Drosophila melanogaster: one gene and its partners. The protein of the gene in region 2 interacts with the protein of the main gene of each other region in a pairwise test. Each region holds a gene or a part of one and is shown on either strand. Other genes may lie near its edges.

Region 1 (6,845 bases), on a different chromosome or scaffold from region 2:
GGCAGGATGCCCCACAATTATGCCCTTTCCTGACCACAGACGTGGACACTCTGCATGCCAAACTTTTCCACTTTGCAACTATTTCAAAAGTGAAGCGAAACTTGTGGCCCACTTAGTCGTCCGTCCATGTCCATACACACACACACAAACACACACACACACGGCTAAATGTATTTATGTATATATTTTCGGATATCCCGCCCGATGTCCGTGTGTCAACGCCGCAGTTTGGGTCTCCGACGTCGATTTCCAATGCGGTTCGTGTCTTTGCCTGCTGCATGATTTATGATTTCTGCCTCGAAAAGTATTTGTGGCATTCCATTTTCCCCCGCATTTGTGGCCCTTTCCTTGAGGTCCAAAATCCGCATCCCGTATCCCTTATCCGTATCCCCGAGTCCAAATCAGAAGCCAACTCAGTGGCAGACTCACTGCCAGAAGCGTTCAAAGTTGTCTACTCAAATCATTTTAATTGAAAATTACACATGAGCGGAGCCGAGGAGAAGTAAACTTTTAATCACAAGTAGGCGACTTTCGGAATGCCCTCTAACTTCTTCTTCGGCTCCATAGTATGTATATATTCTTTTATATTAATATAGTATATAGTATATAATATAAAATTAGCTAATTTTAAAGCCCAAGCTTTTCAGTTTCGTCTTTGTAGGGCAGCGAAATGTGCTAGACCAAAGGGAACCGGTGAGTGCTTCCAAGGGCAGTGGATGGTGATTTTGACTTTTAGCACAGCACATGTCCTTGGGCTGAGAACCTGTGTACCAACCACCGAACCATCACTCCCCCCCCCCCTCCACCAATTAAACCGTAAGACCCCACCCCTGGCTCCCCCCTGCCCACTACAGATTTTCCCCCAAAAGGTTTCGCGGGCTTGCCCAGGACCTTGGCTCTCGGTTTTTGGCCTGGCACATGGCACGTTTTGTCCGTACCGGAAATGTCCATTCACTTGCATATTAACAAAGTTCCGCACACTCACACACCAGTTGCTATTTGGTCTATGCAAATGCACTGCGAGAAATGGAGAAATGGAAATGGACTTGCGTTTTGGGGTATGTTTTGCATATAGATTATAATTCTGTTAAAACAGCACAACAAATAACCATTGCATACCAATTTCACTACATCAAATCTCAGTCGTCTGCACGTTTCAGTGTATGCTTGCTTGGCAGCAGTACTTAATAAACTCCCCAGGAAGAGACGCAAAAGAGAAGGCCAACCAAGTTGGTCGTACATCATAGGGTCCTTTTCCATATCCTCACCATGGGGGAGAGGCTATGCCAGGGTTTGTGGGGGCGGCGGCGGCGGCGGTGGAAAGGAAACAGGAAAGTATTTTGAAGGCACCGGAAACCGGAAGCAAGCAATAATTCAAATGAATTTCAAATCAAATCATTGCAAAACATTTACAAAGTATGTGCGCCAAAGCGCTGCACAAAACCGCACAAGAGCCAAATGCCAGCAAGTTCAACTTTGACTTTTGCCAGCAGCTGCAGGTGGGCGCCCACGCCTCCTCCATTCGGCCTCTTGCCTTCCACGCCCCTTTCCACAATTTTTCACCACCCATGCCACTATGGCCTTGCAGTGATTAATTTCTATTATTATGACACTGATTAGGTCCACTTACAGGCTCATTACAGTCATGAGCACATAATACACAGCCCGGACACGTGACGGTGATTTAGAGGTTCGCGAAATGGAACAGCGGCGCCGCACGAGGGGTCGTCCTGCTGACCAGGACGAGGAGCAACGGGCGCCACTCCCCGGGCGCCATCCTGCAGACATTTATCAAGACATTGACCGCCGCATGCAGAGCCGACCGGAGACCGTTTGTCTTGCACTTGACCAGGGGCTCACCAAGGGGGTTCTAAACGGGCCAGCGCACCTCGCAGACACACCGACTGGCGGCCCTTTGAACATGAACACCAGTTGGCCCATAAATTAGTGCAACTACGCCAAATCCACTGGCCTACACAAATTTGAGGCTTTGCAATCGCAAATTTGGTCGATTGGAAAACATACACAAGGTGAGAGCAATGATGTCCATGAAATATGCATGTTATACCAAAGCTAAAATTTAATTATCCATTTCACGCCTTTGCCATAATGACCTCGAATAAAACCACCTTGGTTGCAGAGTGTAATTGCTTTCAATCATTTAAATAAATAAATAAGGTTGCCTTCTCGCATACTAATAGTAATCATTAAAAAAAAAAAAATTCCTTGGCTGGGGGGCAAAAAAAAAGTAATTTTTCGCTTAACTAAGAAAGGCGGTGGATCCTCTTCTCAACCGCGATTTGGTCGCACCACCATCACCTGGGCCTTATTCTTGCCCCGCTTGTTGCCACGCCGGCGACGTCGCTGATTGTTGTTGTTAATGCTGCCACGCCTCTTGTTGACCCGGCGCCTACGGGCGGGAACGCGCCTCCTATTGTTCTGGCCACCGGGACGCACTCGACTGGACACCGCCTGGCCAACGATCTGCGGCAAGAGACCGGCAACTGGCGAGGATCCATAGATGACCTGATTAATGGCCGCATTGGTGGCCGACGAGGAGGAAGACGATGATGATGAGGATCCCGAACTGCCCAGGTTCACATAGATAGCTCCATTGGAAGTCGTGGTGACCAGGCCAGTTCCGGTTCCCGAAGTCGTTCCTGTTGTTCCCGTCGATGTGCCCGTAACAGCTCCCGTTCCCGTTGATGTGGTGCCCGAAGTGGGACGCAGTTGCTCCAGCATATCCTGCTTATTGGTTATGTACTGATTCAGGGCCGAGTTGATACCGGTGTTTGAAGAGCTGGTGCTGCTGCTGCCACTGTTCAAGCCCGATGCCAGGAATCTCAGCTGGCCATTTTCGTTGCCATCCTTCACATAGATGCCGGCCAAACGGGTATTTTGTTCCTTGGCCAGCGGATCCTTTTCGACCTTCTGGGCCATTGCTGGGCAACAACTGCCCAGCAGACAGAGCACTAGAATTGCGTAGATCATTTCTGGACGATGGACCATCGAACTGTGTGTGCCATTGGGCAGATCTTTGGCACTTTTATAGCCCAACATGAGTTGACGGAAATCGACTTTCATCGGTCATGGATGCCATGATGCCCGGAATTTTGCTTGCCAATATATATAGGTTATAGGTTTTAGAAAGCCTTTCTTCATTCTTCTCGCACCATTTTTGCTGGCCCCGAGGCCAAATAGTTGGACTTTTCAAGTGGCAAGAGCGTGTCAAGAAGTGCCCCTACTTGTAGGCCATTGTTTGCTTTGCCGCGGATCGTGAACCTCAAGTGGTCGCAGCCGAAACCGAAAAGCAAAACCAAAGCCAAAAACCAAAACCAAAAACCAAGGAGCCACACTTTAATTAAAATTTAAAATCAGCAACAGAAACACGTCTGCTTGCAGCTTCAGTTGGGGGTTTTTTCGGGCACAGTGGGTAATAATATAAATGGGAATTTGAAATCCAAATCGTATATTGGTTTTTGTACCTTTTAAGGGTTCTATTAGCAACGGAATACTGCTCTATAGCCGAGCAAATACTCTGCACGATACAAAGTTGAACCCATAAACCGCTGTTGCCCCTTTATGCACCCACTTAACGCTTTCTCTCTCTCTCTGAGAATTGCATATTTTCATTCACTCCTTTTTTTTTTTTTTTTTGGATCAACCGCTGTGAGATTGTGCATTCGGAATGGTTTCCATCACTTTGGCGCCAGTGTGCCGCAGATGGCGCCCCCTATTGGGGCGCATTTAACCCCCGGAATCCCCCTTTTTGCCAGCCTCATTTCATTTGCCGTTGATGCGATGCTGCCTTGCTGGTGGTGCCTTGCTTCTCAATTTTTCGCCTAAGTTGGCCAACCGACAGTTTTGGGGCTGAATGCCTGGCGGGGGCTGTTGAAATAAATTTCACTTACGCCAACGCTCACACACACGCACCAAAACTACACTGGCCAAAAACACAAAGGATTGCTCTTAAACTAAGAAAAAACAAAGAAAGGGGCAGCCATGTTAAGCATATATTTTTGTAATTGTAGCGATATATGATGATAGTATGTCCCAAATTCCGCTTTTAAGAACCACCAATTGTTTTCTGCCAGTGCAGCGCACACATGGAGCGCCACACGAACGTAGAGACACATACGAATGTCGCTCACTGTTCGCGGTTCGTCCTTTACTTGGCAATGCAATTACAGGCGCTAACCGCGCGTGAAAACAGCAACAGTGGCAATAACAACAACGGCTAAGGGAGAAACTATCCATCCACACCGAAGGGAAGCATATGCTCCTAAAATCATCTTTAAACCGGACTATCCACACGAATTATAATGCGCAGGCTAAACTAGTTTCAAAGCTAATATTAGTAGATAGTATTATAGTGATGTGCATTCAAATAGAACTGGTAATATCATATATATACTAACGTATAGAAAATAAATATATTGAATATGATCATACTTAATAATTTGTTTGTCAACTTAAAAGCTGTCAATTTGCTCAACGATTTGCAGTGACATTCGGCAAGGCAAGAGTATGTCCGATAGTCTTTCCTGCTCCTTGGCCTTCCTCTTGATTCACTTTATCCGGCACCACCTCTCGATTTTCCCCACCCCACACGCAAGGTGAGGCTTCCATTTCCCATTTTCCTGCCACTGAGCGGCTTAAAGCGACGCAATGACAATTAACAACAGGCGACGACAAAACGACAACGAAAGAAGGTGAGGCTAAAAATGGGATGGAGGTTGGGAGGTACTCAGAGGTACTTTTGGGTGGTTGGGGAAAATGCCATATCAATGACAGCACCAGAAGCCCGAGAAGAAAAATAAAGCGACAACTTCACGCCAGGACTCCTCGCAGGAGATTCCACCCACTTGCCAAACCACCACCCACAACCCACCACACAACATCCGACATCCAACAGCCAACACCCACCTGCCCCACACACTTACGCATATTAACAGGCTTGAATTTTTCAGTTTTTCGCAGACTTTTCCAGCAACACACCAACACACCAATAGCCCACCCCTTCCATTTTCATTTGCACGTGCAATTGAAGTGCAAAATGCGTTTGGCAATAGAATTGCCAGCTAAAGTTTTCCCCAAACCAACTCCAATTCCCGCTTTTACCCAGATTTCATTCTCTACCACAATACAAAACTCAGTTCCGTTCTTTCGTCTACTCAATTTTTATTTTTGCTCCACTTCGGTTTGGTTTTTGAAGGGAAATTTTTGTAAGTGAAATTTCAATGACATTTTAATGGAAATTGCAAATGAATGATGAAGTACGTTGGGGAGGGGGGAGGGGGGGGTGGATAGTGGAGGTAGGTGTACTTAGTGGCTTGGAAAACTGCACAGACCATCGGGGGGAATTACAGACTTGCATAATTGATGCCAAACTTAGGGATATCTTGGCACTTAGCAAGCGTAAAGCAGTGCCAAAAATAAAAAAAAAATAAGTGAAATAGCACAGAGAAACTCAAATGTATAGCAGTGAAACCTTTAAAAAAAAGAGGCTAAAAAACACTAGTTAAAATAGGGCTTATACATGGATATCAGGGGCCTAACTCTTGAATGGAATTTTAAAAAATGCATTCATTCAGAACGCGTTTTAATGAAATTTCCCGGCGACGCCATTCCATGTCATCCCGCTCCCGCCTTTAAAAGAAAACTTCACACAAAGGGATAAACTGGGCAGACATGCGAACAGAGTCCCTTCGATTGGGGAATAAAGATGCACAGATCCCCACATGGCATCACATCACGATTCGACTTTGCCCTCGTGTCTGGCGTCAGCTGTAGCTCAAAGAAGCTGGGGTCGGAAAAATCGAATTTTTGAAATTTGAAAGCTGGAATCGTTTGCCCATTTTTTGCCCATGTTTGCCCACCAATTAGTTTTTTTTGCCCACGTCCAGTTTTTGAGATATGAATTTTCGAAAAAGTTCGAAAATTTTCGAAAATCAAAAATTTCGCTTTTTTCAAATTTTTTTTTTTTAAATCGCAATAACATCGTTTGCCCACGTTTGCCCACCCTTTAGAATTTTGAAAAAATTTATACTTTAGGAAATATAAGGCTTTTAAGTTTACCTCGGTCTAATCAGAGAGTAAATCGTTTGCCCATCCAAATATTATCAACAAAAAACGTTTGCCCAACCATTATTATTAGTTTTTATCGTTTGCCCACCCTTTAAAAAACCTTTAACAAAAATTTTTTTTCGATTGCCCACATTTAAAATACAACCAATTTCCTTAGCCCACCTCTTTAAAATAAAAATTTCCAATAAAAAACGTTTGCCCACCATTTAAAACTAAATAATTTCGATTGCCCACCTTTTAAAACTAAATAATTTCGTTTGCCCATCCTTTAAAATTCATTTTTAACGTTTGCCCACCCTTTAAAAATAAATTATTTAGTTTTAAGAGTGGGCAAACGAAAAAAACAAATTTTAAAGGATGGGCAAACGAAATTATTTAGTTTTAAAAGGTGGGCAATCGAAATTATTTAGTTTTAAGAGTGGGCAAACGACAAAAACAAATTTTAAAGGGTGGGCAAACGAAATAATTTATTTTTAAAGGGTGGGCAAACGTTAAAAATGAATTTTAAAGGATGGGCAAACGAAATTATTTAGTTTTAAAAGGTGGGCAATCGAAATTATTTAGTTTTAAGAGTGGGCAAACGACAAAAACAAATTTTAAAGGGTGGGCAAACGAAATAATTTATTTTTAAAGGGTGGGCAAACGTTAAAAATGAATTTTAAAGGATGGGCAAACGAAATTATTTAGTTTTAAAAGGTGGGCAATCGAAATTATTTAGTTTTAAGAGTGGGCAAACGACAAAAACAAATTTTAAAGGG
Region 2 (6,977 bases):
GTTCTCTATCTCGATTTGCAGGGACGTCATCTACAATGTGAGCCTAAATGGCCTGAAGGAGATTGCGCGTCTGGAGTGGCACAGCACGGATGCGGACCGGGAGCTGTGTGCCCTAAAGGGGAAGCACGAGTGGGATTGCCATAACTACCTTCGCGTCTATGCACTGCGTCCCAATGGCGAGGTGCTGCTCTGCGGCACCAATTCGTATAAGCCGCGCTGTCGTCACTACACGCCGGTGGAAGTGTCATCCGAGGAGGCCGGCTCTGCTGGTCACGCCCATGCCATGCGCTACGAAGTCAGCCGAGATGTGGAGGCCCAGGGCCTGTGCCCCTACAGCCCCGCCCACAATAGCACGTACGCCTTCGCCGACGGGCATTTGTACAGCGCCACCGTGGCGGACTTTTCGGGTGGAGATCCTCTCATCTACAGGGAGAACCTGCGTACCGAACAATATGATCTCAAGCAACTCAACCAGCCGGACTTTGTTGGCGCCATCGAGCGCAACGGTTACGTGCTGTTCTTCTTCCGCGAACTCTCAATGGAAGTCATGAACTTTGGCAAGGCCGTTTATTCGCGCGTCGCCAGGGTTTGCAAGAACGATAGAGGTGGTCCCTACAGTCACGGCAAGAGTTGGACTTCCTTCCTTAAGGCGCGACTCAACTGCTCGGTGCCCGGCGAGTTTCCGTTCTATTTTGACGAAATCCGTAAGTTTTAATAGACGTTTTGGATATTCTTTACAAAAATTATAATCTCAATTGTTGCAAACTCCATTTACAGAGGCCATTAGTCCGATTGTGGAGAGCGGATCCAAGTCACTGATTTATGCTGTCTTCACAACCTCTGTGAATGCCATTCCTGGCTCGGCCGTATGCGCATTTAACGTAGACGATATACTGGCCGCCTTTGATGGAGAGTTCAAGTCGCAGAAAGATTCACAGTCCCATTGGCTGCCAGTGGAGCGTGAGCAAGTGCCGAAACCACGTCCAGGACAGTGCGTTGAGGACTCTAGAACTCTGACCAGCATCGCGGTTAATTTCATTAAGAACCATCCCTTGATGGAGGAGGCTGTGCCAGCAGTGCACGGTCGTCCGCTGCTGACCAAGGTGAATCTGCACCACCGACTTACTGCGATCGCAGTGCATCCGCAGGTAAAGTCCCTAAGTGGAGCTTACTACGATGTTATATACAGTGGCACCGATGACGGCAAGGTGACCAAGTTCATCAATATACTGAGCACTCACCCGAACTCAACTGTTGATCGCCTGAAGACAGTGGTTATATCAGAGATGCAGGTCCTTCCACTTGGAACGCCAATTAGGGAATTGGTGATCTCCACTTCGAAAAACTCGTTGGTTGTGGTTAGCGATGGCAGCTTGGTTAGCGTGCCCCTGCACCACTGCTCTCACATTGTCGACTGTCTGGGCTGCTTAAGTCTCCAGGATCCCATTTGCGCCTGGGACTTACAGACACACGAATGCAAGAACCTGGCTACGAGTCAGCACAAGTTCGGAACAAAGACTTATTTGCAAAGCTTGAATAGCACCAAGAAAGCCGCTGCCTTGCTATGTCCTCATATTCCCCGAGATGCACCCGGTGCGGAAACAGTAAGCTTTGTTACCATGGCTCCACCGCCAACAGAGGAGCAGAAGCTTTTGTACTCCAATGTGGGCTCGTCGCAGGGCAATCAGCCAAGCTTGGAACAACAGCCAACTGGTGGCGATGACTTTGGTTTGAACAAGATCACCCTTACGTCCATGGATCCCGACGATATTATGCCGAATTTGAACGGTTAGTACTAATATTTATTTTCCTAGGAATATTGTGGTTTAATATTCGCATTTCGTTGACAGATCCCCAAAAGTCTACGGCCAGTGTAGATGAAATCAAATATGCTTCAACGCCCAGCTTCATGCTACTTACAACTATCGTTTTCTTTACCTTCCTTGTGGGTGGAATCGCAGGAATATGCTGTGTGAAGGCTAAGAGCCGCCTGATGGAGGCCCAAATGGATGAAAGTCACCGCAATCATTTCGGCAAGCCAATGTAAGTTTTATCTTGGAAGATGCAAATCCATATTGGACAATTCTAATTAAATGGTTTTGACAGGCAATTTAAACATCAAAATACTGGCAAAGACATCAACCTGTTAATGGGCTCCAATGCCTATACGACCACACAAAAAACACCTAATCTGGATTTAGAAAAGGATCGCAGTCATGAGTGCAAAAACTCCACGGAACATTTGGAAAAAGAGCTGCCCTGCAAAACGTCAACGCTGACAAAAGTGAAACGCACTTACATCTAGTGGCCTTGTGAGGGCAGCCAACTGCAAAATTAGTCGAATTTCTATACTCTAAAACATATTTTCGTTGTTTATGTTGCTGTTAGTTATAGTAACCCCCCACCCAATTTGCGAATAATGTAAACGACAGTCTCGGATGCGTTTGAAACGCATCCGAAAGATAGGAAGCAGAGCTGTTGCGTCTTTTTTACTTAGCTTGTATTGTAATTTAATTTGATGTAAAATTTGCGTAAGCTTAGTTTCTTTGTCAAAATTTAGTTAAATTTATTGACAACGTAGTGTGCGGGCTGCCGCAGCCTGGAGCTAACCCGAAGCATTCCGCATTCCCCTGACGTCGACCTTTGCTGTCCAAAATAGGAGTGCCGGCTCTTGGCTACGCAGCCCGATTGTGTCGCCCCTTATGTGTACTCTTAATGTATAATCTTTAAGTGCAAATATTAGAGCTGTACAAATTTAATCACATATCATGCATACCGAAATCGAACCCGAAGCGGACCAGCCCCAATTATTTCTCGAAATTCAATCGAATATTCAACAAGTATTTTGTTAGACTGAATGATTAATTATTCTATATGAGTTTGTTTTGTGGAGAACTAACAGAATGCGACAGAGACTTTAAAGCTCTATGCTTTGTGGCTAACAAAAGCGTAAAATTGTATCTAACATAAGCTCTATAAGGAATTGAACATAGAATGTAATTAAAAGTACGAACTAGGCTAAGAAACGAAGAAAACTTCTATGAGGCTGTTTGATAAGAACTGACACCGCAGCCCCCACATCATCAGATGGAAAAACGCACAAGAAAGCGAAAATAAATGAACACTGCAACAACAGCAAGCCTTATAAATAGTATAAAATCGTGTCGAATCTAGGCCTTAACGCTAAACTTGTAAGCTTTGGATGGAAATAATGAGCTTGGTTGGCAATCAACGTAAATCAGCATTTTAATAATTTTATGTTTAATTTCTAAGCTGTTGTCCGTCCCACTAAAGAAGTTGCATAAATACAATGTACAATGGCAATTTTATTTTTAAAACGTGTAAAATGCAATTTTCATCGTAATTAATATATTTTTATACGTATATGTACGCCTAATGTCTAAATCTTAACATAAGAAAGTCTTAAAAATGGAAAATCCCGATAAAAGCTATATATAAAATATTTTTAAATCTTACAAAAAAAAACGTAATGTAATGATTTCTCATATTGTGATAGATTTTATTGAAATTTTAGAAAGATGAAATGATATGCCTTTTGGTTGAAAAACAATGATATATATGACGAACGAGTCTGATTGCATGCATGATAATATTGCGTAGGAATGGGTCTTCCACTCGGAGGATCAAGAACCAGAGAAAACCCTTCATGGTGTTTAGTTTTTATTACTGTGTATGTCCTTGTAATGTGTATATTGTTGTATACATCCGATAAGCAATTCGTAAATCTAATAAAGTCGTCATTTTTTTCATAACTCAATGTGGTCTTTTAATAGGTTCGGATCTATGAAACATTGAATTTTTACAGCAAATATGGTTTGGTTATATTTATTGAAATCAATCATTTTTCCAATAAAGGCTAATTTCAAAATTTGAATAGTTTACGATAAAGCCTTTCGCGCCGAAAAATGATCGATAACTTCTGATATGGCTCTACAATACATCAGCCTCGTGATTTTCTGAATAAGATTCAACGGTCACACCAGGCACTACACTTTTGGCGTGTTGCACATTTCAGTGTTTAATTAAAGTAAAAAGCCCAGGTCGCGGTTATATAACAAAATGAACAGCCTAAGGACAGCAACCATGCGATTTGCCGCTCTGGCCAGCTCCAGTGCCGGATCTCTCGGCAAGCGCGATTTCACCCGCAGCCTGTGGCACATGACCAAAAAGCCGGTGACAGCCGGAGGATCCGATCATGTAACCGTGTTGAATCTCCACAAGCCCAGCATTAATTGCACGTGCGGCTGCAACGTGCACACCAAATGTAAGTTAACTCAACAAATTCTTACATGGGCGGTCCATGCCGCCGGTTACATAACCTCAAACGTTGGGTGACGAAATGTTGACCAAAACACAGAAAATTAAACGCTTTGTTTATATCCAGGTGAGCGGGAACTGGTGGAGTTCCTCACCGAGGAGATAGTGGCCGAGCGCAAGGTTCAAAAGGGCAAGACGGTGCCAAGCACCCTGGATGGATTCGCCGTAAAACTGACCGGCGCCGATGTGGAGCTCACCAAGCAGACGGATAAGGAAAAGGTGGTGGTCAGCTTCAATGTGAACCATACGGTGGACAGCGAGGAGGAGCCCGAAATCAACCCCAATGCTGACAAGCCGGATCTCGGTGAAATGAGAAGCAAGCCCCAGTTCGAGGTGGACATCATAAAGGGCAACTCTACGCTGTCCTTTACCTGCAGCTTCCTTCAAGGCGAAGCTCAGGAGGGCGAGTACAGTGAGTACTTTGACAGAAATCGTTTTGATTCACCGATAACACAGGTTTTACCTTTCAGACGATGTCTTCTCCATTGATGAAATGGCCATCTTCGAGGGCGAGTGGAACGATAAGGTCTACGCCGTCGCAGGCGACGTGCTTGACGGTTACTTGTACGACTTGCTGATCAACTTGCTGGAGGAGAAGGGCATCAGTCAGGAGTTTGCCGAAAAACTGTCGGACCTAGCCACTGCCCATGAGCACACTTCCTACATTGGTCTGCTGGAAAAGCTCTCCAAATTCACTGCCGGTGGCAAGTGAATGTTCGTCCCACTTAATCTTAAAGCATAAAGTTGTGTAGGTTTTTAAGTTTCTATTGTCTGCTGTCGCAGTTTCATCACCTAAAACAGTTTTTATTAGTTGTGTTTTTGGTTTAACTGTGACAGTGAAACTTAGTTTTTAAGCCATAAAACATTCATACATGTTTCAGATAAAACTATAGAAACGGTTGCCAATAATTCACCCTTTTCGGCATCAGCTTCGCTTTGGTTTTTAACAAATACAACGTTAATTCCCTAGTTTTTTTTTTTGTTTATTTTCTTTCTATGGTTGCATCGATTTTTCGTAAAGATTTTCCTGTGGGTTGAGTTTCGTGATCATTTAGAACTGCCGGAAATATGGCCTGGGATCGTAGTCACTTGGTCGGTATCCTCCCCAGTCCTCGTGGTTCTTGCAGGCGGCGCAGATGAGGAGAGCGAGGAGCACGAGGATTGGCAGCAGTTGCATCTTGATTAACGGCAAGTTAACTTTAGATTGTGGTGCTGCAGCTTTTAATGCTCCTCTTTATAGGTGAGATTGCCTCACCTTATCGTTGAAATAGTGACCTTTCTCTTGGGGAAGTACTCCGATCTGTTTATTGGGCGATGGGATTTACCATTAATGTACGACCTATATGTGTTATTGTTTCACAATAAGCAGGATTATCAGCGTGGAGGCCATGTAATGTCATACTTTGTCATTAAGATGGATTTTATATATTTCGTTAAAAAGCTTTTTTTTATACGACCAATAATAAGAACTGCGACCATTACCTAATCATAGGCTTGTATATACTTCTAAGAAACTCAAAGACGGATTCTGTCTGAATATAACATTTTTTATAGTTCGCTACTTGAACTTATTTATAAAACATTCACTAAATAATTTACATAAGGATACGAGTCATGGAACTAAACCAAAGCTGCTTCTGGTACTTGGTAGACCTAGGCTGTTCCTCCACTCTGGTGTCGGCGCTGATTACCGGTGAGGTCATTGTGTCCCGGGTTCTGGCCCACTGTGGATTCAATGCCGTTGCCAGGATGCTGGAGCTGCGTAACGGGTCAACTTTTTGTCTTGGGTTGCGTCTTTCCGCCGGAACTACTCGCATTGTCGTACTCCGAGCCGGTGCAGTACTCAGATCCGACCTCCCGCAGCTCAATCTTTTGCTCCCTCATGGCGCGCTAAAGGTCAAAGATTGGGTCAACCAGCTGGATGATGAAACTTGAAACCTGGGCTTACCTTGACGCACTCCTGATAGACCCGGAAAATCGGCGCGCAGCCCGAGTCATCCGTCTGGCCCTTAAGGAAGCCTTCCGAGAACCAGCTGTTGAAGCAGGCGTCGTACTGCTTCTTTAGCTCATTGCAATCCTCGCCAATGCTGTTCATTTGTGGAGTGAAGCTCTTTGAGTTTCAGTTATAATTTCTCTATTGAATAATAAGTCGAAAAAAATGTGAGAATGGTTTGTGTGAGGGTCATACTACAGATAAGCTATCAGAGATGTGGGACACAGCATATCGATGTACGTTTCGTTGAAACTGAACGTGCTATCGAAATTTGAATTTTCAATTCTTTAAGAACATCTAATTTATTTTAATAAAGGCACTCTGGTTATAACGAAATCAGTTGTCCATGTTTCATGATGATACTATTAACAGTCAAAGTACTACGAAATGTTTCTCTTTACAAGTATTTTGTAGCGCGTGCAGCCACCAATTAACGCTGGCGAGGATTAGGATGGCTATATGGAGCAGCTTACGGGGTCAGCTTTCGCCCGCCTGCTGCTGTTTTGCATCAGATCTATTCGCATTATTCTCCTCAAGCCCGGTTTCGAAGATCGGATCTATCTCTTGCAAATCGATCTTCTTCTCCTTAATAGCGCGCTGGGGATTACAGGTTGGTCAAACCATACGTGGTTAGGGAGCCGATTAG
Region 3 (7,935 bases), on a different chromosome or scaffold from region 2:
TGCAGATCCTGCATCAGACTGAGGTCTCCATTGCCGTTTCCATTCGCATTGCGATTCAGTGTACGGATTCCACTTTCGTGGCCGCTTCCTTCGCTGTTGCTCATCGTGGATAGACTGTGGATTAGATTGTGAATTGGTTGTCCGATTTGCCAAATTGATTGATTGCCACTCGATTAGACAGACGACGACTAACCCGGCTAACCCAAACACCATCCACACTTCACCCGTTTTATGGCCAATTGATTATCATTCGTCTCTATCTTCGCCTTTTGGGCCTCGCCTCGAGTGATAAGCCAGCGCTTGGCCAGCTGCAATAATGGTTGGACAATGGAAATGGACGAGCGGCCGGACACTTGAGGCATTCCTGCATTGAGACTAATTTATGCTCATTGAGTTTCGCACAGACAACTTGCATACAATGGCCCAAGGTTGGGCGATTTTGACCCGATCCGCAATTGAAACCAGTTCTCTGATTGCCGGCCGCTTATCTCGCGTGTCGAGAACATGGCTCAAAGTCCGATTCGGATGAGATGTATGTATGTACAAATGAACATATGCCCATCCGCGGGCGCACTATTATGATTATGGCGTCTCTCGGAATCCGATTGCACTTTCAATCCAAAAGAAAAGGTTTTCATTCTCATTACCCGAAGAAGTTATAATATGATTGATTGTGTAAATGGCAATGTTTACCAATTATTTGGTATTTGAAATGCGAAAGGCGAGTTTTAAGCTCATCTTAAAGTTCAATTGAAATGAAAATGAGCTGCTAGAAAAACCACGCGTTCGTTTTACATAAAAACCTTGAGTTTTCCTTTTAAATTAGTTCATATATCTAGATAGTTACCAACGGGAAAACACGATATTCGATTCAATGACGGCGTGAATTTAATGAAACATTATAGTTTTAAGATCTGCCTGTATTTGCCCGCAATTGAGAGGACTCGAAACTTTGCTGGCTTGTCTGTTCTGAGTTATGACAACTTTTCAATAAACCAACGATGGTGGAATTAAAACACCTCCCAGTTCCCGGCGCCCCCAAAAGTATGCCCCATTGGGCGCGGTGGGAGGTCACGGGGTTGAAAAGCATAACGAACAAACCCCCCACCCCCCCTTCGGAATTTATCACCATAACGACTATGCTAAGCGGTATAAAAATAGATACCTCGGGCATTCCTTATATTGCCAATTACAAAACAGCGGGCGGGGAGCTAGTGCACTGCGAGAAAATGTCTGGACTGCAAATCGCAAGGTATTCCATTTCTTTTTAAGCTTTGAATTTAACAGTTACTGAATCGAATTTATTTTCTAAACAAATTGTGCTTAAGAATCCTTTAAAGTAATTCATTTCACATTCATGTTTTTTGGCTAATGATATTTCAGCTTAGTCTTAAACCTATTTTATCTTATTCAACCAATCTTTCCATCTTTTTTTGTGCCTTGCTTTACCATGTTATTTTTCTCAGTGCACAGGAAGATTGTTTACATCTCCCATTCAGAATCAATCGCCGCACTAATCCAATTTGTAGCGCTGCCGTCACGCAATTCGCCCCTACAACCTGACCGTCCACCTACACAAGTATTTTCCATCCCAATCACAGCTGCTGCCCCCCCCCCCCCCGGAAAATCCAAAAAAAAATGCAGGTGGAAAACTCACCGTTTTTTTGCTGCCGCGGATGTGGCTGCGGATGCTGTGCGTGGGCGGAAGCGGTGGCGGATGCGGATGCCGCGCTGACGTGCGGATCCGGGGCGGAAGAGGATTCGGAATCCCAGGCCCACGCAGGATTCTCAGGGACCCAGAGCTTGCTGCACTGCATCCGGGGATGTGGGAAGATTCGATTTGGCGTCCGTCTTCTTATTTACTTTCCGCGGACTGGCTAGTGGTGGGCAGGGCGGCGATGTAACATCGATAGCTCGCCGTTGTAACGGCAAGCCAAGTCATCGATGGCGCACCAGCGAAGTGCCATCTCTAGAAAGTAAGCAAATAATTAACGTATTTATAAATATTTAAAGTTTATATCTAGCTTATAGTTCCACTATTCGAACCTTCAATTATGGCTTATTTGAGATCATTTTTAAAAATATTTCACTTTTATAAAGATTTTTGGGCAGAGGAAGAAATCATCTCATATTTTTAGCTTTTATATTTATCTTTATTTATTACGTTTATTATAAAAAGTGCCTGCTTAATTTGAAGCTGAAATAAGAATCTTGTGATTCACATTTATTTCACTTAAGGATTATAGGATATTTAATGTTGCCTAATTCTACCAATGTTTCGATGATTTGTGCTTAAATGTTGCAAAAAACAAAAAGTGGAAATAAATAAGTGAACTACTAAACTTTTTAGCGTACGAATTTCAATTCAAGAAGCAAATAAAAAAAAAACTCAATTAGAGGGAGACCTTTTACTTACGATCTAGATGCTTCAGTTTATCAACTAGGCATATCTAATGCGATTAACTATTTCCAGGTTGGCCAACTCCTTACAAACATACAGATCCCGATGGCGACTCTAGTCGCCGCTGGAAGCGCAGCGGCCTGGTATGATTATATATATATATATATGTATGCATTTGCAGTTGCAATCCGGAATTTACTTCATAGTCCGGGCATTACGTAGGCGATGTTGTCGAGCGTGTCGGCCAGATTTTTGCTCAACTGCACATTGTTCTCCATGCCGGGTATTTGCGTGGTCATGCAGAGCAGCGGTCCCATGGCGCAGAGCAGGCTGTCGAGGAGCACGGACAAGCTGCCCGATAGCGCCACGTATCCATTGTGCTTCTTCAGTCGCTCGCCAATCACAGTCAGGCTCTCGCCGAGCAGCTTCAGATGTGCGGCCGCATCGATCACTTCGATGCTGGTCTTTTGCACCTCCTCCTGCTTCAGCTGACCCCCAGTCCGGCCGCTGACGTCCGCATCCGTGTGCACTTGCGCTTGTTTCGTCGCGCTCTTCGAGACCTGCGACCTGGCACTTCGTGTGCTGATGCTGCGCCGCTGTGTGTTGGTGCCAGTCGCTGCTGCTGCCGCCGCTGCGGCAGCCGCTTCTATTGAGGATTGCTGCCGATCGGCGGCCAGTTTTCGAGTGCGACTTGTTGTCGCACGGTTCTGAAAGATCGTCTCGTGCTGCGTGGCATCTGCCAGAGCCGTGCTGCCGTTGCTCGCCGGCTGGGTTGCACCGTTTGCAGCGGTTTTGTCGCGAGTTTTGGCCCTGGACGCCTCGATTTTGGCCTTGCGCCGCCAGGTGTTCTTGTCCCGATTGGAAACGTTCGCCCACAGCTCGCTGAGGCGTCTGGTCGCGCTGGTGAAGTCTGCAAGCGTGCGGGGAATGGTCAATAAGCGATAGAGAGCGCACAGATGTGTAGCAACCTACCTAGATCCTGGAGATCCTTCTGTCGCGCCTCCTTGGCCCACAGACTGTAGGCGGTGTAGCGCTGCTTGCCCTTGTCCTTGCGCTGCACCTTGGCACTCACCACCTTGCCGTCCTTGAGCACCTGCCGCTTGTTGGACTTCTCGCGCATGTAAAGACTCTGACGGACGGATGACTCTTGGCTGGTGGCCTCCGCCTGGACACCATCGACGATATCCTGCACCAGATTGTCCAGTTCATCGTCGGAATTCAGAATGGCCACGACCGTTGCCGTTGTATCCGGATGGAATTCCTCGCTATCCGAGATAATGCCATCATCCACGAGCATCTCCTGGTCAAGATCCAGATCACGCAGCGCATTCGATGGCCTGCCGCGGCCCGAATATCTGGCTGGCTGTCTGGCGCCACTGTGACGCCTTGTGCGCTTCTCGATCTCATCCGGAGATTCAAAATCCAACAATTTCGACGATTTTTTGCGTACGCGTCCGCTGCGCGAAACACCCGTCACCTGGAAATCTAATTGGGAATTTATGACCCCGATTCCATTGACGGCTGCCGCTTTTTCCACTCACCCTTGGCCACCAGGTGCGAGGTTGGGGACTCCATGTTTGGATACCTGCTTTGGAAGATTGGGATGCAATTTGTTGCAAAAAGAACGAATTAAACGAAGCAAACAAAACAGCTGTTTGGTGTGACCAGAGCTTTAAAACGCGATGCATTGCAAGCGATGGTTAAATATGGAACACTAGATAACCATTTTAGTTTTTGAATATATTGCTAAGTTAATAACCATTGCACCAGTCAATTGTACAGAGTAGGAAACCATTAAACTTAATTATTTAATAATATAATATTTTTTATTGTTATATTATTTAAATTATAAGCACAGGATGTGCACGCACAACTTAATTTTTTTATTATATTATTAATTATTTTTATAAACAAAAACATTTACGATATATACGACTGCAATTTCATTTTTATTACAATACATCTAAATTAATATCCAGTTAGCTTGCAAAAACCATCAGCTGGTCACACTGCCGCACCTTTGTTTTGTTTCGACTTTTTTTTTTGCTGTTTGAAAGCGGCTTTTAGTTTATCGATTTGCTTTGCACCTAACTGCGCCAAGCGCCCCATGGCACGCGATTCTCGCCGTTTGTGAGTCGTTTCGCCGGTGGCCCCCAACCCAAGGACATTTTGGCCCCCAGCCGGCCGTATACGCATTTGGCGTTGACCCGCGTCCGCTTTTTTCATGACCAAAACGGCGGCTGCGATTCAAACGAAGCTCAAGCGCAAGCAAAAACATTCGCGCAGCGTCAATCAATCGAGGCGGTACTTAATCGGGTTTAGAGCTATCCATAGCCATGTCAGCGGAGAGGAACAAGAGTGGCGAAGTACGCAGTGCAGCTGGAGGATTGGAACTGGCATCTGCGAGTGGAGCAAGTGCATCCGAGACGGACAATGTGAGCGCCCTTGAACTGCAGTCCAACAAGCGCATGCTGTACTTTAGCGACGGCGTCATGGAGGAGTTGTCCTCGGGCAGCGAGGACGAGGCGGATGCGGAAATGGGCGACAAATGCTACGACGTCCATTTAAACGAGGTACATACATTCAGCAAGGATTATGGGTGGAGTAATGCACTTCCGGCCATCCATTTAGTACATGGTCATGTAGCTGCATTGCTTGTTTACCTTTTTTAAAGCGGGATTGTCCGGATTAACACAGTTAGTTAAATTTGCTCAAGATTAGCCCAGTTCTCCTGATCCAGATAATAACTTTTCACTTTGAGCTCGAGACGTGACTAATGTTCGAAGCGAATTATGATAATAATGTGAGAAATTTTATATCTTTCAATGAAAATGTGTGTTTTGAGCTGTTTAAGTAAACAAACAGGGCCCAGGGCCACGAAAAAGATAAGCAGCTGCCACCCCCCGCCCCCCTCCTCATTGACCATTTAGCGTGACTCATTTAGCCCGCTTTTTTTTTTTTTGCCACCTTTTAGAGCGAAATGCCGCTGGGACCACGCCTGCGTTACAAGGCCAGCAGGATGGGCAACCGATTCCTGGCCGGCATCGACTATGTGGGCGGTGGGCTGGCCCACCTGCTTGGTATCACCAGCAGCAAGTATGCCAGCGAATTGGAGAACTACCACAGGGCCAAGGAGCACGGCGACGAGGACCTTGACAATTGGCACCCGCGGGCCATGTCGACCACGACCAGTAGCAGCAACAACAACAGCAGCGGCAACAACAATCGCAACGAAACCATCGTCCTATGCGAACCAACACGCAGCGAGGCGACCTTGCCACCCACACGGCAGTAGGCGCCCACTGGGCCACCCACTTGCCAGGTGGGTTGTGCAAGGTGGCGATTTTCTTGGCAGGAAGGCGAAACAAAATGCTCATGGAGTACTGGCGACACTTGGAGACTCTTTTACTTGGTAAAAACCATGCGAAACGAAATGAATCAAAACAGATATTAACTTTTCGACACTTTATTCGCTAGCAAATAAGTTATACATATACATATATGATAATAAAAAAAATACACATATAAAATACAATACAATACAATACATATACTGTTAGTCGCGGGCTCCATACGATTCGTATTAGCCCGCAATTGTATAAAGGTTAGTTAGTTTCTTAGCTAGTTAGTTGGACATTTAGAAGTAGGACTTTTTCTGTGCGAAAATCAGCAGAAGTTGAAGGAAAACCCTCAGTAATTCCGCCAAAGTTCGTTGCTGGAAAAGGACTCTTTTAAGGTAATTTCATGATATTGACTCGTTTCAGTTAAGTCCCTAAAGCTAATGGCACACTGAATACAATTAGGCATTACGGCTACGATTGCAATTGCGTTTTTTTTTTTCGATTGTTAAGTACACTTGTTTCGGCATCGGGAGAAGACAGCAAAGTTGGAAACCTAGTTTCTGGTTCCCATTTTTATTTTTTTGTTTTTGAAGACATGAACATGCGTATCACAGTATTTGGTTGCTGCGCGTTTCTCTCTCTCTCTAACTCAAAAAAAAAGAATTTATATAAAAATGCTAAATATATATATGTATATATGTGTTATGTACGCAAAGGCGACACACATTAAGTCCTAATGTCTAAAAGGCAAGAGCGATTATTGAATTTGGTTACACCAAAATGGTAAAAAGGCAACGCAAGGGGCAACTAATTAGGAGCAACATTAAGTACACACAGGAAAATAGGATATGAAGCCCATCTAGGGCAATTACAAATACATTGTAGATGACCTATGACCTCGCGATAAAGGCCCAAACTAAAGCACTAAGAGCACATTTCCGGGGTTATATACACAGTACATAGATCGGTTTACCCCATTGTGTTCTATGGACAGGCAAAGCAACTAAAATCGAAATAACGATATCGTTATCTCACGATCGTTTTATGACAAACAAATTGGACCGTTTCCCCACCCATTTAAGTTGCTTTGCCTCTTTCGATACCCGAAACCGCATTAAGTTATAGTAGAGGATTGACTTTGGCACAGCAGCTGCTGCAGGAACATTGACTGGAAGCAGGAAGCATTTCCTGCCCTGAAATGGTACCTAATCCAATTCCGTCTAGAGTAGCGTCTCATTGCCATACTGCTGCAAGTGGGGATAGTAGCTGCCGTGCTGGCTGTACTTTTGCGAGGCATAGCTACCTGGCGGATAATACAGCCGATGCGAGGATGTGGAGTGATGCTGGTGATTGTGGTGGGGATGGAACTGATGATGCTGCTGCTGCTGGTGATGATGATGATGCGGCGAATGGCGCTGCTGGTGATGCACGCTCCTGCCCAGCGAATAGTTGGACATCTGATTCAGCGATATAGAGCCGGTACCAGGCGAAGTCTTCAGTTTGTACGGACTTGGCGGCAACGGAACACTGGCCATAGAAGTTCGCACCGAATGGTAGGAGACCACCGTGCTATTGCAAGCCGCATGCGATCCACGCGAGCTACTATGCCCGTCCAGGTGTCCAGTTGCTGCTCCGGCAGACGTATGCTTCACCATTTTGCCATTGCTGACTTGCCTCTTGTAGAGAGTGGAAATGCTTGGTCCAAGTACCCAGGCAAAACAGCAAATGCCCAGCATCAGTTCCATGAAGGCGCGCAACAAAAATGGCCAAAGTGGCGTATTGGTATCACCCGATCCCAGCCAGACATCGATGTTGGCAAACTCGTAAATGACAGCCAACAGAAGCATGGCACATGCAAGTCCATAGATGAAAAGGAATATGCCAATGCCGGAACTACTGTGTGCGCTTAGCTGTTGCAGTTGCTGTTGCACGCTGAGTGCATTGCTATTCCTCAGGATCTCCTTGGTGCGACAGTGTACCAAATAGCCGGAGATCAGATTCATCGAGCCAAAGATCCAGTAGCAAAAAACGGGCGTAGCCACCAATATCTGTAGCGCCTTATCCGACTGATTGCCTACGAAACAGGCGCCTAGAAGAGCGTATGGTTGGGTTACTCTCCGAATTCTCCGGCGGATCTATAGCATATCTCACCAAGCAACTCGTCAGCATCCACGAAACGGGCAACGATCACTG

What was found. Proteins that work in one complex are often made in the same cells at the same time.
Region 1: the proteins of P32 (region 2) and CG4116 interact in a two-hybrid assay, tested with the Drosophila melanogaster proteins (2 studies listed by BioGRID).
Region 3: the proteins of P32 (region 2) and CG4617 interact in a two-hybrid assay, tested with the Drosophila melanogaster proteins (2 studies listed by BioGRID).

Annotation. Positions count from the first base shown.
Region 1 is NC_004354.4:3,064,479-3,071,323, forward strand, and holds CG4116 (uncharacterized protein), read right to left. Parts: upstream 3,085-6,845; coding exon 2,290-3,084; 3' UTR 2,137-2,289; downstream 1-2,136.
Region 2 is NT_033778.4:17,669,638-17,676,614, reverse strand, and holds P32 (P32), read left to right. Parts: upstream 1-3,974; 5' UTR 3,975-4,080; coding exon 4,081-4,285; intron 4,286-4,405; coding exon 4,406-4,750; intron 4,751-4,808; coding exon 4,809-5,050; 3' UTR 5,051-5,306; downstream 5,307-6,977. Other genes in the region: Sema1b (semaphorin 1b), read left to right, coding at 22-704, 778-1,788, 1,851-2,043, 2,107-2,305; IBIN (induced by infection), read right to left, coding at 5,390-5,515; CG30109 (uncharacterized protein), read right to left, coding at 6,109-6,228, 6,287-6,433; CG30108 (uncharacterized protein), read right to left, coding at 6,809-6,928.
Region 3 is NC_004354.4:7,100,419-7,108,353, forward strand, and holds CG4617 (uncharacterized protein), read right to left. Parts: upstream 4,074-7,935; 5' UTR 3,977-4,073; coding exon 3,943-3,976; intron 3,887-3,942; coding exon 3,374-3,886; intron 3,312-3,373; coding exon 2,602-3,311; 3' UTR 2,417-2,601; exon of another isoform or gene 2,292-2,416; 3' UTR 2,137-2,291; downstream 1-2,136. Other genes in the region: CG4615 (uncharacterized protein), read right to left, coding at 1-104; CG8300 (uncharacterized protein), read left to right, coding at 4,738-4,974, 5,376-5,696; fz4 (frizzled 4), read right to left, coding at 6,963-7,831, 7,894-7,935.